2 linked regions of the Mytilus edulis genome follow. The protein of the gene in region 1 purifies or fractionates together with the protein of each later gene. This does not show direct contact. Links are inferred from orthologs where the notes say so. Each region holds a gene or a part of one and is shown on either strand. Other genes may lie near its edges. The genes, in order: exosome complex component RRP40-like and DIS3-like exonuclease 1.

Region 1 (8,345 bases):
GAACATAATTAGATGATAAGTAAAAAATCGCGGAATTTCCCTTTAATTAAAATATAAAGAATAGGAAAAATCGGTAACTGAATGATGAAAACAAAATAAGAGGTGTTTAACTTTACAGAATAGTGAAAATTTGTATAAAAAAATAATCTGCAATACTTAACATTTTCTCCGACTTTTAACTTTTTTTTAACTTTTACCAATTAAAATGAAGATAAATGAAAATTTTTACATAAGAAAATGTTGGCGCCAGAAATATCGCCAGCAGCCGTATTTTGTCGCCAGATGAATAAAAAAAAATCGCAAATTGCAACATTGGCGACGCACAGCGTCCCTGTGAATAGTTTGCTCTACATGTATCTTGGCATAATACTAAAGTAAAGTTGTAAAATTTCTGTCTCATTTTGTCTCTTGTGGAGGATTGTCTTATTGGCAATCATACCACATCTTCCTTTTTTTTATATACAAACCTGAAAGTATTGAACAGCAGATGCTTCTTCTGTTCTTTCTGTAAATACCGATTTTAATACACTCCTCATTTGTTTAAATTGAAACTGAAACTGTTTCATGGCTGAAATAAAAGAGTAACAATATTAATCTATAATAAAAGAATAGATCTTAATAATTTTAAAAATATTAGTGTTCTTTGAATATTTTATTATGCATTACTTCCACGTACATGTTTGGTGTTTTCTTCTTCACTGAAAGTTGATGCTGTCAACCATTATCTTTAATATTACTCATAATGAAGAATTTATATTTAATAAATAATACATAGATAAGATGACCGTAATTAAATAGTCATGTACATGCAACAAGATGCCAAGCTCATACTATCATATTTCCATTTTCTGTGAACCATAAAAACAAATTTGGCATACAATTTAAGTTCACATTATCACAAACATGTGTACTAAGTTTCAAGCTGATGTGACCACAATTCCTAATCTAATATCAAAATACATGTACATGAAACCAAACTTTTACCTGACACTCTGACTCAGACTGAAAAACAATCCTTTCTCCTATCATACACAAGTAATAAAATAAAACAAGTATGAAACGTTCCTTTAAAATTACTAATACCTGTTTCAATGAAATGTATTCATTTAAAAACATAACTACATGTACTTACCATGTATAGATGGAAATCTGACCAATGAACTCTTGTCTTCATTTGTAAAAATAAAGCCCTGCTTTCCATATCGAGAGTATTCTGTACTTGATGTTATCGTAATTACATGAAATTTGTTTCCTCCTATAAAATAGAATTAAATGCAATAATAATGCTCAAAGGGAAAAAAATCTGAGCTAAAACATAAAACAGACAAAAGATTGTTTACATCAAATATAAACTTCCTCTGCCTAAATATATTTTTTGTTTCCCACCTCCAAATGTAATGGATTTTTGGTTTTCCTCTTTCAAGTCCTACACTTATTTATTGTCAGGAGGCAAGTAACACACATATAATATTTTTGTGGCCCTTTTAGTCCAGTAAAACAGGTCCAAGAGGCAGGCACCTTTAAAGCATTCATAAGAAAATTTCCCATTGTCAATGTTTTCTTTGATATGTTCAACATTTGCCCTAAGATAGTCCAGGGTTCCAAATAAGCGCCATCCCACTTGCCCATCGCAAGTACAATCTGCTGCGGGCAAGTGAAACCCATCCAGTGTTGTGTGTTTAATAATGCAGAGTATTAATGTATTACAAGATATATGAAATAAATTGATTTTAAACACAAAAGTTATTCATATTCAGTCAATTAAAGAAGTCAAAATATAAATATTCATCTCTGTACTCTCTGCTCCTTCTAGGGATTATATTGTTTCAAGAATAGTGTTATTTGTTTGACAGTCTGTTCCTCAATTTTGTCCCTATCCTCTTTAGGGTTGAAAACCCCCTCTTACAATAACTTTTGATTATACTCCCTTTAACATTTAAAAGCCATGAATAACTCAGTCAGCCACTTGTCATTAGAACCAGAAACATGGTGCTTGCTGTTATCACTTGCTAAAACTTTAGCTTGGTTGGGATTAGGAGAAGCAATGACATCTGCTTATACTGACAGTGTACAGGAAGGTGTATTCCCCCTTTCATTAGAAGTCATTGGGCTAAAATAAACTACTACTTCCATCATCTGCCTTTAGCTTAGAAGTCACACCTTTATTATTTGCAGAGAACATGTTCATTCAGAATAAATAAAATCGAATATGGTTTAGATATTTGGTATACAACTTTTTAAAACAAATATATTTTAATGAACAGGCTACAGCTGACCAGTTTCCGTAGTTTGACATTACGCTTCCATGTGTATTATTGTTAAAACCTATCTTTGGCAGGTAGATATAATCGAAACTTTACAAACTCGATAAAGTTAAGAGCATTGAAATTATTTACTAGTGACATTATACAGAAGCTGCAGCGAGTCCTTACCCGTGTTGATTGTCACATATTTCCCAACGTACGGTTTTACGATCGATGTTCAATGATCATTTTATTTCTAAAAACACAAGTTTGAAACTAATTTACCTTGCAAGCAACATTTTTTCATTTTCTATTAAAATAAATCGCAGAGTTCACGAAAATGGTCAGTCCTGTCGGTCAAAATGAGGCCCAGACCAGTATTTTGAAAGCTAGTGCCGGTCCTGATGACCGATGTAAAAATGACCGTTGCAGTGTCTTTTTTATCAGTAATTAGTTGTACCGCAATACGTATTTACCTCGGTCATCAGATGTACCTGCTGGTAATTTCCGGTACTGGTTTCCTGTTATAAACAAACGGAAACCTACGGAAACCAAAGCACCGATCTACATGTGGCTTGCTAAATTTGTTCATTAAGCCATCCCAGGCAAACAATCGATGATTGAACCCTTTAATGGAGATAACAAATACTGAGAAATTGATTCAGATGATGAAATGGATAGTAAAGATGACTTTAAATAAGACCAATCAGAAGAAAAGAATCAGTTATTCATTGTTTATTTGCCGGTGGCTGTGAAAAATCAAACTAACAATAATAAAGTTATTTTAGATAAAATATGTTATTATTTTTATTTTAGGACTGGCTAAAATTTTGTAGGACTGACAAATAATCTTGCTTTATCGGTCCCATGACCGACGGGTCTCTGAAATCGTAACCTTAATTAAAGTTTATTTTAACTTTTTCAACTACAAATACTCTCATTCATAATTTTCATCGTAAATATCTTTAGCAATGTGTATTCAAATTTGTCACGTGTTATCAGCACGTTCATTGGTCGTGTTTAAATAGATTCTTCTTCTCGACCAATGAAAAAATCCGTTATTCAAATGGTCAAGTGATCACACACATGATGCGTAAATACAATGTATTTGCCATCTATTTCTTCAATTTCTGCACTGAAGTTTTTAAATTTTAAATTTTCTTCTACAAATACATTTCTTCTTGATGATCATTTACGCTAGTACATGATAACATAGTCCGATAAGGCCGAGATAAGCGTGGCTCAGGGAATCAAATATTAAGGGACAACGGCCAATTAAGACGCTGCAATCTACAAAAATATTACGAAGGCGCTGCCGCACCACAGCGTCCCATCGGCCTGGGGAGAACACTGCCATCACATAGTTGTCTGCCAGGTAAGTTGAAATATTTGGTTTGTGTATAACTATGTCAGAAATTCATTTCTCCAAGGTATATGTATTACCTATTTTTATTTTCTAAATTCAATATTTGATTCATATGCGCATGCAGAAAAATTGTAAACATTGTGTCCCCCAAATAATTATATTGGTCAATTTCTATGTGTTAGCCAAAGGCAGGGCCCATAGACTCTGTAGGCAAATGAACTCGGGGCGAACTAACCAAGGGTGAACATGTATTTACTAATTAGAGCGATCGAACCTAAAAATGTGTAAGGTTAAAGGTTACGGTGGTGCTTCCTGGTAAACAATATTTGTGAACTCCTGCATACAATAAACAAGTTCCCCTCAATCAAGACCTAGTTCCCTTCAGACTTCAAGTAAATTATTAATATAGACAGGAAAATAGGCAAAATCAAACATAAAAAATAACGTTTTTATTCTAAGACGTCATAAAATAATCAACACCTTTTTTATCAGTTGCATCTTAAGAAAAAAACGATCTACTATAATCCATGAATAAGGTCTTCTTATTGAAAAGTTCCAATCAGTGATGCCGCATTATTTCAACGTAAACGATTTATTAATGCTTCGCTATTTCAACGTAAATGCGACCGATATGACATGGATTTTCGAACAATGAAAAATAACTCATTATGAGAATCTTGTTCATACGTTAGTACTAAGCTTAGAAAAGTTATACCTTTAAACAATGTTAATGTTACACAATCTGTTTGTCGTGCCAGTTCAAGTTTGACGGGTTCATCTGTTAAATGTACAAATCTTTCGTCGTCCGAAAGGATGGACACTTGCACGTTGTCATAAGACGACGCCATCTTTCATTCAAACGGAGGCAAATCTTACCTAAAGTTCATATCCGTAAAGTTCAATCACATTTTTATTCGAAAGATTAAAATTAACCTTACTTTAAAATTACAAAATAGACAAAAAAGATGGTTGTACGATTGTTTTATTTGGCTTAATTTTCATGTTATTTTTAAATTTTCTACAATATCGTAATGTTTTACATGTAAACAAACTTTCTGGAAATAGACTTTAGGTTTAAAATGGTGGACCATGCTGGACATGTGTATTTGCCCGGCGAATTAATTTGTAATTTGAAGGAATCAGAGAAAACATCGAAAATTTTAGTTGGACCAGGATTAAGACAAGATGAAGAATCTATAATTGTCACGAAATGCGGCTTACTCCGCTTCAAAGAGCCAAACTTTTATTGGATCGACTCTCATCTAAAACGGGTACATGCTTATCAAAGGGAGATAACTCTTATCTTAAAAAAAAAACAAAAAAACAGAGGGAAATGATCAAGATCTATCAAGTGTTATTGTTGTCAAAGTTTACTAGCATAATTAAATTGGAAAAATGCGAAGGGTTCAGATTTTTTAATTTTAAGGTTCTTGGGAAAATTGACAAATAGTGCCTTAAAATCCTCTCACAGAGACTTCGTGGTGTGAATATTATAATGTTTTATGTCCCCTTTTTTTAAAACTGAGAAAATGGCATTTAAAGTTGGACAGTCTGATATCCAGTCATATAAAACAAGAGCTATGCAAAAAGTATGCGTAATACTAGTTCCAACACATCTGATTAAATTGTCCTTTTCAGAAAGGCACTGGCTACGGTTACATGAAAATGTAACAATAATAAAAATATTATTGTTACATTGGAGACTAATTGCCGGAATGCAAAGTTGGGTGAGGAACCGATTAATTACAAATGTAACGATAATTACTGAGGCTACGGTTACATTACGTTATTGTTACATGAAAAACAGCAATGTACGCTAGATTGATTAAACTTAAATCTTCTATAGTTGTATTGCTTCATTCTTTCATATGTACTAAACAATACTTGTAATTTAATACTGATAAATAATAAAATATTATTATTCAACAAATGGTGTACAACTTGAATAGTTTTACTACGTATTAATGGTTTTGATGTTCTTAAAGATACTACTCAAGATTAGGAGTGTGACTGTCAAAGGCGAAACATATAGTTCAATGGTTTCACTTTATAAAGTATTTAACTGCACACCTACTCTTATTACTGTCATTATACTTTGGACCAATTTTGTTTAAGGTGAAAAATATAAAACTTGGGATGCGTTTTAAACGAAACTGAAACAATATCAAGACATACATTTCATACAGCTTTATAACTTGACGCAAATTGATAATCAAAAGCAAAGTTTGCTAACTGTAACTTAAATACTAAGAAATTCTGTATGTACACGTATCCGCGGAGGACGTAATTTCGTTCATCAAAAATGTGTCGGACTTTAAAAACAACTTACTGGATTTGTAGAAATTGTCATTGTAAATAAAAAAAATTACAGTAAATAAATTGTATGTTATAAATGTATGTAATTAATGTCCTCAACTTATATTATTTAGTACATAATACTAGTCCCATCGTACATTGCTGTTTTTCATGTAACAATAACGCAATGTAACCGTAGCCTCAATAATTATTGTTACATTCGTAATTAAACAGGTCCTTACCCAACCATGCATTCCGACATTTAGTCTCCAATGTAACAATAATATTTTTATTATTGTTACATTTCCATGTAACCGTAGCCAGTGCCTTTCAGAAATCTGATAATGTATATATTATTTCGGCAATTTCATATTTCAAGTTTGGAGATAGTACATTTTAATCTTGTGATAAGTAAAGTTGAAAGAATTAAAATGGTATTGGACATAAAACATTATAATATTATTACTGGGCAATGTATATGCCATTAAAATTGAATAAAATCGGCAGTAGAAACAAAGGCCATACACAATCTTGTTGGTTAAAATAGTGTCTTATGTTTTCTTTGAACTATATAGCTATGCCTGCAAGGCAAACTGGTCGTATAGTTCTTCTGTCTATGCGTCTGTCCTTGCAAGGTTAAGGTTCACGTTGACTTTGTCTTTCTTAATAGAATTTCAATGTTAAAAAACCAGGTTAAGTTTCAGGTTTAAGTTTTTGATATAAGAGTTATGATATCATCAAGCAGCTTTGTACATAGATAGCTTATGATGTGGACTGTTTGATGCAAAGTTGATGCTTGGGTTGTAATAAGTCAAGACTCATTGACTTTGTCTTTTGTAATAAAAAGTCAATGCTAAAGACCAAGTTAGGGTAAGGCCAGATCAAGTTAATTGATAGATTCTCATCCACCTATAATAAATTGAAAATATTGGGTTGAGTTGGACTCTTATATTTTATTTTTACGTATTTTTATTACAGATTCCAAAGAACTTTGTAAAAATACATAAAAAATATAAACCACGGTACCTAATTGGCTGGAACGGATGGGGATAAGAATGTAAAAATTAATTTGATATGATCTTAAGGTTAAGTCTGTAATGGGTCTGTGTCTGAACAAACTGTTAGTCATTTTAAATACAGATCATTGGCGGGCATGTACATGTAGTGTCATTGGACATTCTTTTTCTAAAAGGACAGTAATAAAATGACACATAATAATTAGACAATGACTTTATGAATATAAAACTAAAGAATTACAAAAATGGGACCTTTACTCCTTATAGGATGCTGATTTATAAACAAATCATAATTAGCACATCATCATAACAGTTGGACATTAAGTTCATGACATGATATGAAAGGGATCTGTATATGTTTCAGCTAAACAAAATGTATATTTTTTGCTATTATTCATTAAAAAGCTGTCACTTGGACCATTTGAAAATTTCTATATTTTGTCAATAATATTAACAACATGTAAAGACTATATTTATGTATGAAAGTGCCATAAAGTCCTATTAAATTATAATGCCCTCATTTCATACTATCTCCATTGGTAAACTTTTGTCATGTGACCCAGAATCCGTCAATTTCATTGGTTTGTACTTAGATCACTATAATTCTGAATACAACATTGTATTTGGAGATATATCATTTTAATACTACTGTTTAGGCAAATTTGAAGATAATTAAGCCTGGTTAAATATATAGGGAGATAGAACATTGCAGCACGAAACTATTGACACCCATAACTCATTTCCACTGTAAAATGGACTTATAACATTATAATATTCACACGACGACTTGTCAAGAGCACAGGCGTTTGCTTGTGATAAAAATACACCTTATCGCTATTTGTCCGCCATTACTGGACATCACACAAGTTTCCCGTAAAATTTTGACGTCATAAAAGAAAATATCTGACGCCACAATGGAAAAGAGATTGTTGTATGACGTCAAAAGTTCAAGCGGGACAGATTCTCGGGTCAAGCGGGAATAGCGATAAGGTGTATTTCCTATATACAATGTACTTTAATATAACCTGATAACACAAGGTACTCAACTCTCAAATTTGGAAAATGTTAGCTGGTCGTGAAATTCTGTTACATGCTGATTCCTCAGTGGTCAACCCTACTAAAACTTGTTATGTCGTAAATCTAATTTGATTTTTCTACATAATGGTGTATAACATGCCTACTTTTGTTGACGGAATCATCTGTAGCAGGCCTACCCAAGTGTGTCGATCATAATTTTTTTCCTCTACTGATGCCAGATTGGAAACACTAAACTTGCAGTAAATGATTAATTATAAAAATTATTTTAAATAATACTGTTAGTTTTTGTCTGCATTGTGGGTCTAGGTGTGACACAGGATTGCTGTTTTTTTTGTAAGCCTGACATGAAAGTCAAATTATTGTGCCGTGAAAATGGGTAATGAAGTC
Region 2 (8,665 bases), about 88 Mb from region 1:
ATGATATCAAGATATGAAGAACAGGACTTTGCAGTGTGACCTCATCACACTATTTAACTGATTTTTTTTTAATTTGTATGTTTTATAGCTATTTTTTAATGTTGAAAAAACTGGTGGTGCAGTGGTTTCTGATGAAAATTTATATCATAACTAGATGTGTCAAAGCAACACAAATGGCCCCCTCTCAAATAGTTGAAAATCTGCAATTTCAATAACACATTCGGACACAAACATGATGGAAGTCTCACATATAAAAAATCAGCTCAAAATGTGGAAGCGTATAGAAAAAAGTCTGTATAACTGTGATTTTCAACAATTTTCAAAGTTGTAAACCCTTAATTTTACCAAATAAACTTGATCTGTAACTCATCATGAATAACTAACATACCAAAAATCAGCCCAATATCTGAAAGCGTTTACAAAAAAAGTCTTTTACAACTGTGATTTTTAACAATTCCATAGCCCGTAATTGCTGTAAAAATTAGCCGAGCGGAACAAAACTTAGACTTGATTTGTAACTCATCTTTGTTTAACTCACATGCCAAAAATCATCCCAACATCTGAAAGAGTTTAGAAAAAAGTCTATATAACTGTGATTTTCAACAATTTATCAAAGTCCAAAGCCCGTAATTTCGGCAAAAATTAGCGGAGCGGAACGAAACTTTAACTTAATCTGTAACTCATCATGGTTAACTCACATATCAAAAATCAGCCCAATATCTGAAGGCGTTTAGAAAAAAACCTCTGTATAATGGTTTGTTGCAGAATGACGGAATTACAGAATTTCGGAATTACGGAATTTCAGAATTACAGAATTACGTAATTTCGGAATTACGAACAAGGGTAAAACTGTATGGCACCGACAACTTCCTTACAGGGCCATAAAAATGTAAATGTCTTGAAATACTAGCATTGTTATCATGATGTGTAATAATGAAAGTAATACCCAAGACAAGGTAGGTGTTTTTAAGGAGATTTTGGGTAAAAGTCAATGAAACAACAATCAAACATCACAATCAAAATTCAAGACAGATAAAGATATTGGAAGTCCATTTTATACAAAGTATAAGATTGATCAGAAGAATATTTTTGGACAAAAAAGGTACAAAATCTGTAAATCTGAATTCCTTGAATGTCATAAATGTGTATTGAAACAAATGCAATTTCACAAACAAGTCTTTGTACAATTTGGAAATTAGTATGGCGTTCATTATCACTGGACTAGTATATATTTGTTTAGGGGCCAGCTGAAGGACGCCTCCGGGTGCGGGAGTTTCTCGCTACATTGAAGACCTGTTGGTGACCCTCTGCTGTTGTTTTTTATTTGGTCGGGTTGTTGTCTCTTTGACACATTCCCCATTTCCATTCTCAATTTTATTTATATGATCAATGAAAGTATATCAATGATGCTTGTATAGTCAAACAAAAAAACTGCACAAATAACATAGTTACAGTATAAAATAAATTACAGTATGAGAAAAAGAGCGTTTGTAAACAAAGAGCTTAAACATTGATTACCATTTATTTCAAACAAATGCTAAAGAATTGTCAAAGTTCAATTATTTTCAAAAAATATTTCTAAACTTACACAGTGTTCAGCTGTCTGTGTAAAGATTATTCCATGAATTTCTGGTGCTTCAAAAACTTCAAGGTATTCTCTGGCAACTTGACAATCTGGGATTATATAGTGTGTCACGTTTGAAGGTAGCAAATCAGAGTCATCTGCAAAGAGTTCCCAGTTTTGTTTACATTAATAGCATGATTAATATTAAACTAAATATGATTATAGGTTTTAATCAAGTATCAAATTCTTTTAAGTTTTAGGTACTTAAATCTGTTTGAAGACCATACCAGGCTGCATTGCCATTTCCCAATAAAATAATATCTACAGAGATTTTTTAAAGTGTAACATAAATATAAAAAAAATTCTATGCAGAATATGACTACATGCATGACATGTAAAGCAACTATATATATATATATATGCTTAAGACAATACAATATGAAACAGCAAAAGTATCAATCAATTTTCAGTATTCACCATGCAAAACTTTATCCAAGATTATGCAATTCAATTAAAATAATGAAAAGTAGAGACAAAAAAACCCTTCATTTTAGCTGTAAGACACAATAGTGGTACATGTGTACTAATAAATCTTATCAGGCAATAAAGAAGCAACATACAAAACCACAATCTCATTTTATTTTTATAATCACAGTTTGTCTGAAAAGATTTACATATATGTAAGATATTTTCATCTCCCTCATCAATACCTTTGATTTGTTTACCATTTATTTAAAATCTCACCTATTCCCACATTGCAATTTCCAAGACATAAACTACTCTGACATGGTATATTTTCTCTCCTATAGACTTCTCTTACAATACTGACACTCTTCCCCTGGCTGTTCTTCAACCTCAAATAACGATTGTCTTTATCTAGAGACTCTGCTTTATTTTCTATGACCATTTTTAGGCTGTCTACATTATCAAATTAACTTTATCCTGAAGAACAAAAATAAAATATGAAAAACCTTTTATTATTTAGAACTATCTTGTTGACCTGAAATTCATTTGTTCAGGATAATCATTGTTAGCTGAGATAATCTTTTATTTCAAAATACCCTTGAACATTGAATTATTTCATGATGTGACAAAAGGATAATTCAAAATCGAAGAAACCAAGAAAATTTGATGTCACAATTAAGTTATGTAATGACCAATCAATTGCAGAGAACAGATATTTCACTAGTGAGGAGAAATATTTTTCTCACACTGCTCAAGAAATGTGAAAAAAGCATGAAAAATAGAGAAATCAAATTGCTTCAAAGCACTGAACCGTAAAGATTGCTTTAATTTATCAGTGGGAAGTAAAAATAAATATTGCATTGGTTGTTGTTGATTTAAAACAGCTATTCTAGACAAAGGAAGATGACTCCAATTTTTAAAGATGATGTTAACAATGACATAATTTATATTTTTAGAACAGATTTTAGATTCCTGCACCTTGCAAACGTTATGTAATTTTCTTGACAAGTGAAACATCATTTTGTGTCTTGAATATCTGAGCATATATCTCGTGGATAAATTTCTGGAAATGTTCATGATTTATAGTATTTATAGAATGTTATGGTTAATGCACTATATTTTGTGTACATGTATCAAAAAAAGCAGTCTTCACGCTGAGTGGCAGCCCAGGGCCTGTAGATTTAGCAGTTCATCGTGAAGACTGAAAAAGTGATCAATTTTGGAACATTTAGATATCAAGTCAGTCCCATATTATGCAATTTTTACCTTAAAACAATAGATCAAAGGAAAATGCTGTCAAATATGTATGAAAACATGTGAGTCACATTTGTGAGTCTTACGCTAACTGTATGAGACTTGATGTATCTGTTTTTCTTTATTGTTGTCTTGTCAATAATTGGGCATTTGGTTTCCTTGTCTTACATGTACATGTCTTATGATATGCTTAGAGCTTTTGATAAAAATGGAGGTTGTATGGCAGCACACATGTACATGTACAGTGATCTACAGTTCATGTGGACTCTGGTGGATAGTTGTCTCAGAGCCAGAGGCAATCATCTCGTGAACATCTCCTTCTTTTCAGTTTAACCATAGCAAGTTAGATGATAGTATAATATAGGCGTATCAATTTGTGAAGCATATAATTTCAGATATGGTTACTTTTAAGTACTGGCACTTGTTTGTTTTCTTAAGATTTTAAAGGGCCAAAAGTAAAGAGGGTCTTTACCATCACATGAAACAAGTGCCTGTGCTTTTGTCTTGAACCTGAAACTAAAGAATCAAATAGTTCACTTTAGTTGTTTAACCTCCTCCTTCTGGTTAATACTACAATGCATATGCAATATGACTATACTCACTTTAAAAAAAAAAACTTTGGGGTACATTTTGTGCATAGGGGACAGAAATGTCAGTTTTGTTTTGTTAATACAAGATTTGTTGCGCGGATGTTTACTCCTTCACGGGAGCACTCTATTCGAAGAAACCAAAGTGGTATTTAATCATGAAATTGATATTAGGGACCAGTAATTATTTATCTTCAGTGGGGCGGCAAAAAAGTAGTGGGTAATGAGAAAATTAGATCTGATAAAGGGGGGTCATTCTTTTTCAGGTTGCTCAAGTAAGGGGGGGGGGGGGGGTCATAATTTGTTTGGCCATATATGCATTGATCGCCATATACCATGACCATAGACTATTAATGAATAGTTGTTTGGGCCCTTTAGAGCTAACTTGTCTAGTTTAACTCTTTCACAAATGTCAAACTGTCACTATCAGTAAAACTAGTCACTTTACTTTACTATTTTACTTTACTCTTTGACGGAGCTAGTTATATTGTCAAGTGACTAATAAATATTGCCAAAAAATGTGCAAAATTAGTCAATTTTCTTATATTTTTCTGAGATGTTATAGGACTAAGAAACTAGGAATAGAGACTACAAAATTGGTTTCATAATCCTGGTTTCACCACAGCAAACATAGACTTTGCTTTTTTGAAGGGGACCCCATTTTTATGTTTCAAGATGAACTCGTATATTTTACAAACTGTTGTTTTAGGTGAACACAAAATATTCTATATAGACTTTTTCAAAGCATTTTCTTCTTATTCTTATTCCGTATCTCAAATATACCTCATGTAGAATATAAATAAATATATGAATGATTTGTTCATTGTCGAAGACCCTCCGTCTTCTACCAGAGTGGAAGGCAACAGTTTTGAAATGAATCACTTAATTTATACAAGAAATTATTGAAAGACCAGGACTGGCTTCATTTCAGCTGGGAACAGTATATATATGTTCCTGATTTCAGCATCTCTAATTTTGAATAAGACATCTGACATTCTATATGAATACAATTAAAAGTAATGCTCAGTATATCAAACAAAGTTCAAATTTTTACTCTTTAAAACTGTAAATGACAAAATCATAATCAAATACTAGTAAACAACTTAAACTCCAATTAGTGTTGAGTTTGACGAGATGGTGCATATGTAGTAAAGAGAGGAGGGTTTAACTTTTTTAACACATTTTGAAAAGGGGCAATCATATTTTATCCTTTCAAATTTAATTACATTTTGCCGCCCCCTCCCCCTGGAGATAAATAATGACCGGTCCCTTATGTAGGTGTGATAATGAAAAAAAAAAAAAAAAATGAAAGCAACACGCTTAATAATTTCTTGCGTCCGAAGCGCTTTTCTGGATTTACCTTCATCAGAAACGCTCAAAGTCAAACATTTGAAATCCGAAGATGTACAAGTAACGAAACCGTTGAAGAGCTATATGTCAAAATTACCTAAAATAAATAGCCAATTCATCTAAAGCAAACTTTGCCTGAGGGATTTGAAACCTTAATTTCTTAAGAATTTCAAAATTTATAAACGGACAATTTTAGTAAAGTTCATTGGCGGATCCAGGGGGAGGGGGGTGTCCGGGGGTTGGAACCCCTCTTTTTTGGACGATCAATGCATTTGAATGGGAGCATATAGTTGGAACCCCTCCTTTACTCTGGGTTGGGAACCCCCCTACCCCCCTTTTTAAAATGGCTGGATCCGCCACTGAAGTTTGTTCAATCATGTCAGTACCGAAATTATAGACAGTTCTCATATTTAAAAGATTTTTTTTTATATCTAAAAGTGTTAATGAACTTTGCATGTTAAGCCCCTTGTTCAGGGCTATCGGAGAAGATGCAAAGTAGCACAACATTATTAGCTCACCTGTCAGCTTAAATTCTCATTACTTGGCGTCCGTCGTCTGTCGTCCGTCGTCTTCCGTCGTCCGTCGTCCTCCGTCACTTTTACAAAAATCGAACTGCTATAGGCCAAGTTAAACCAAACTTGGCCACAATCATCATATGGTCGATTTGTCCGATGTCGCCGACAGATAATCAAGATGGCCGACATGGCTAAAAATAGAACAACAGGGATAAAATGCAATTTATCTTGCTTATTTTTTTGAAAACAGATATGAATAGAGAAAATCTGAAGAGGTCATAAATGTTTAGAACGTTGGGCTCTACATTCTATTTATTTGTGTCAAAACTGTCAGACGAATTCTTGTCATGTTGTAGGAAGTATCGCCTTTAGATGATGAATTTGTTTTATTTTTTTTTGGCTATTATCTCGAAAATTGCAATAGATCGATATAGACAGGCACTTTGAAAAACAAAAATGATCAGCAAGACAAGACTTACAAATAATTCAACACGGCCAAAATATATAAGTCACTCCTTATTAGAGGATTGTCCTATAATGACGACTTTACACATTTTTTGTTTTGTGTTTTTGCATAATATCTTAAAAACAATATCAAATAGATAAATACTTTAAATAGCAAAAATTATCAGCAGTAATAGATCTGTAGATAAGTCAACATGACCCCAATTGATAGTCGTTTCTCTATTTGAATTATTGACCTTTAAAAATGATTTTCTAATTTTTGCCTATTATCTTGAAAACTGTATTAGATAGATAGAAACATTGAATAAGACAAATGATCAGCAAGACAGGATCCACAAATAATTAAGCCATAATTTTATAGCCGAAGTCATCCGTCGACTCATCAATGGAGTTATTGTCCTTTTATGATAATTTTGTTTGTATTTTTTGCGTATTATCTTGAAATCTATAATAGGATAATCAAAACTTTATATCAGAAAATTACCAGCTGGATAAGGTTGACAGATATGTCAACATGAGCAGAAGAACCTTTATAAATTCATTTCCATTTTATGTTTGCTTTTGTATGCTTTGATTTGTTTATGATTTACCGTGCTTTCATAACAGTATAGATCATAATCTTATGCTTGCTGTGCTTTTATTACAGTATAGATCATTAAGTTATGCTTGCTGTGCTTTCTGTTTTTTTATGTCTGCCCTGTGTTTATTATATGTATGCCTGTTTAAAAATAAATCTTGAGGATACAGAGCTTACTATTTTGTACTGTTATATTCATACCAGACTTTAAATGAATCTTTTGTGTATATGAGGCAAGGGTTATAATCGAAAACTTAGACGTTTCTTCATTTTTATAACTCGTGATCGGACTTTTAAATTTAAGTGGGCTATCACTCAAAGTTGCGAATAGCGAGCTCAAATCATATTTACATCGAGTATTCATTTAAAAGTAATAAGTAAAATAATAAAAATACTGAACTCTGAACACGAAAAATTCAAAACGGAAAGTCCATGTTCAAATGTCAAAATCAAAAGATCAAACACATCAATCGAATAGACAACAACTGTCATATTCCTGACTTAGTACAGGCATTTTCTTAAGTAGAAAATGGTGGATTAAACCTGATTTTATATCTAGCTAAACCTCTCGTTTGTATGATAGTCGCATTCCATTCCACTATGTTGTCAACGATGTGTGAACAAAACAAACAGACATAATTAAGGTAGCACAATACACAGATTTTATACCTCCAATTCACCAGTTTTAAAATGCTGTAACTTTCTTTATAATGGTTGGAAATTTATAAAAGTGGTATTTATGAATAGCTAACAGATTAGTCTTTCAAATTAATGCATTTGTTAGTATTATACAACAATTATGTAATCAATTATAATGTTAACTGTGTCTACAAAATGTTACAAGAAATTTCCACTTTCAATTGAAATTAGCTTCTTCATGGATATCCCGGGAGGGTTGATTTTATCATATGTTGTTCCTAGAGCCATTATCTAAAAAAGAGTGTCTCAGATTTTGGATAGAATGTATAGATCACATTTTACACCTAATCAAATATTATCTACTTTTATGTGGTAAGGATGATTACACTAATTAGAGATTTATGAGAGAATGGAATATTTTAGCCATAATTTGAAACACCCTTTTGTAGCTCCTGTTGTTTTGATTAAGATTTCGTTAAAATTTCCTGAATAGTTATAGAGATGATAGAGCTAAATTCATTCAAGTAAACTGACCAAGATTTTGCCATTAATTGTATAATAATTGATTACATATTGATTGCATAACAAAAATATTGCATTTCTTTTTAACGATTAACCTTTTTCTGTCTATATATATACCTCCTTTATTAATTTATATGCAGTCTTTAGAAAGTAACAGCATTTTAAAGGTTGGAGATTGGACGTAAAAAAATCTTTGTATTGTGCTACATTGATAGGTGAAAATATCAAAAATAGGGGTACAGCAGTCAACGTTTTCTTGTTAAAACAAGAATGTGTCCTAAGTAAACGGAGGCCCCATCCGAACTATCATTTTCTATGTTCATTGGACCGTGAAAATGGGGTAAAACCTCTAATTTGGCATTAAAATTAGAAAGATCATATCATAAGGAACAGGTGTACTAAGTTTCAAGTTGATTGGACTTCAACTTCATCAAAAACTACCTCGACCAAAAACTTTAACCTGAAGTGGGACGAACGGACGGACAGACGGACGGACGAACGAACAGACGGAAGCACAGATCAGAAAACATAATGCCCATAAATGGGGCATAAAAATGAATTTCTATCGGTTTCTCTTCTTTTTTTCAAACTTGAGCTGGACAGTTATTTAAATCAATGATTTTCCTACAAATAAATTGTTTTTCCTTCTTTCCAAGCACTATTCATACTTTTTTTTTATATGACAAGCCTGTGAACATGGAATCTTTAATCGGTTATTGATAAGTGT

The links.
Region 2: the proteins of exosome complex component RRP40-like (region 1) and DIS3-like exonuclease 1 purify together in Homo sapiens (affinity purification with mass spectrometry; 6 studies listed by BioGRID and IntAct, counting the BioPlex papers as one, with this or other methods). This does not show direct contact. The link is inferred for Mytilus edulis from reciprocal best matches to the Homo sapiens genes EXOSC3 and DIS3L.

The regions. Positions count from the first base shown.
Region 1 is NC_092344.1:5,614,983-5,623,327, reverse strand, and holds the start of exosome complex component RRP40-like, read left to right. Parts: upstream 1-4,688; coding exon 4,689-4,880; intron 4,881-8,345. Other genes in the region: histone-arginine methyltransferase CARMER-like, read right to left, coding at 468-568, 1,133-1,255, 4,325-4,457. UniProt on the Homo sapiens protein: Non-catalytic component of the RNA exosome complex which has 3'->5' exoribonuclease activity and participates in a multitude of cellular RNA processing and degradation events.
Region 2 is NC_092344.1:93,297,073-93,305,737, reverse strand, and holds the start of DIS3-like exonuclease 1, read right to left. Parts: upstream 3,938-8,665; 5' UTR 3,886-3,937; intron 2,507-3,885; 5' UTR 2,472-2,506; coding exon 2,309-2,471; intron 1,723-2,308; coding exon 1,589-1,722; intron 1-1,588. UniProt on the Homo sapiens protein: Catalytic component of the RNA exosome complex which has 3'->5' exoribonuclease activity and participates in a multitude of cellular RNA processing and degradation events.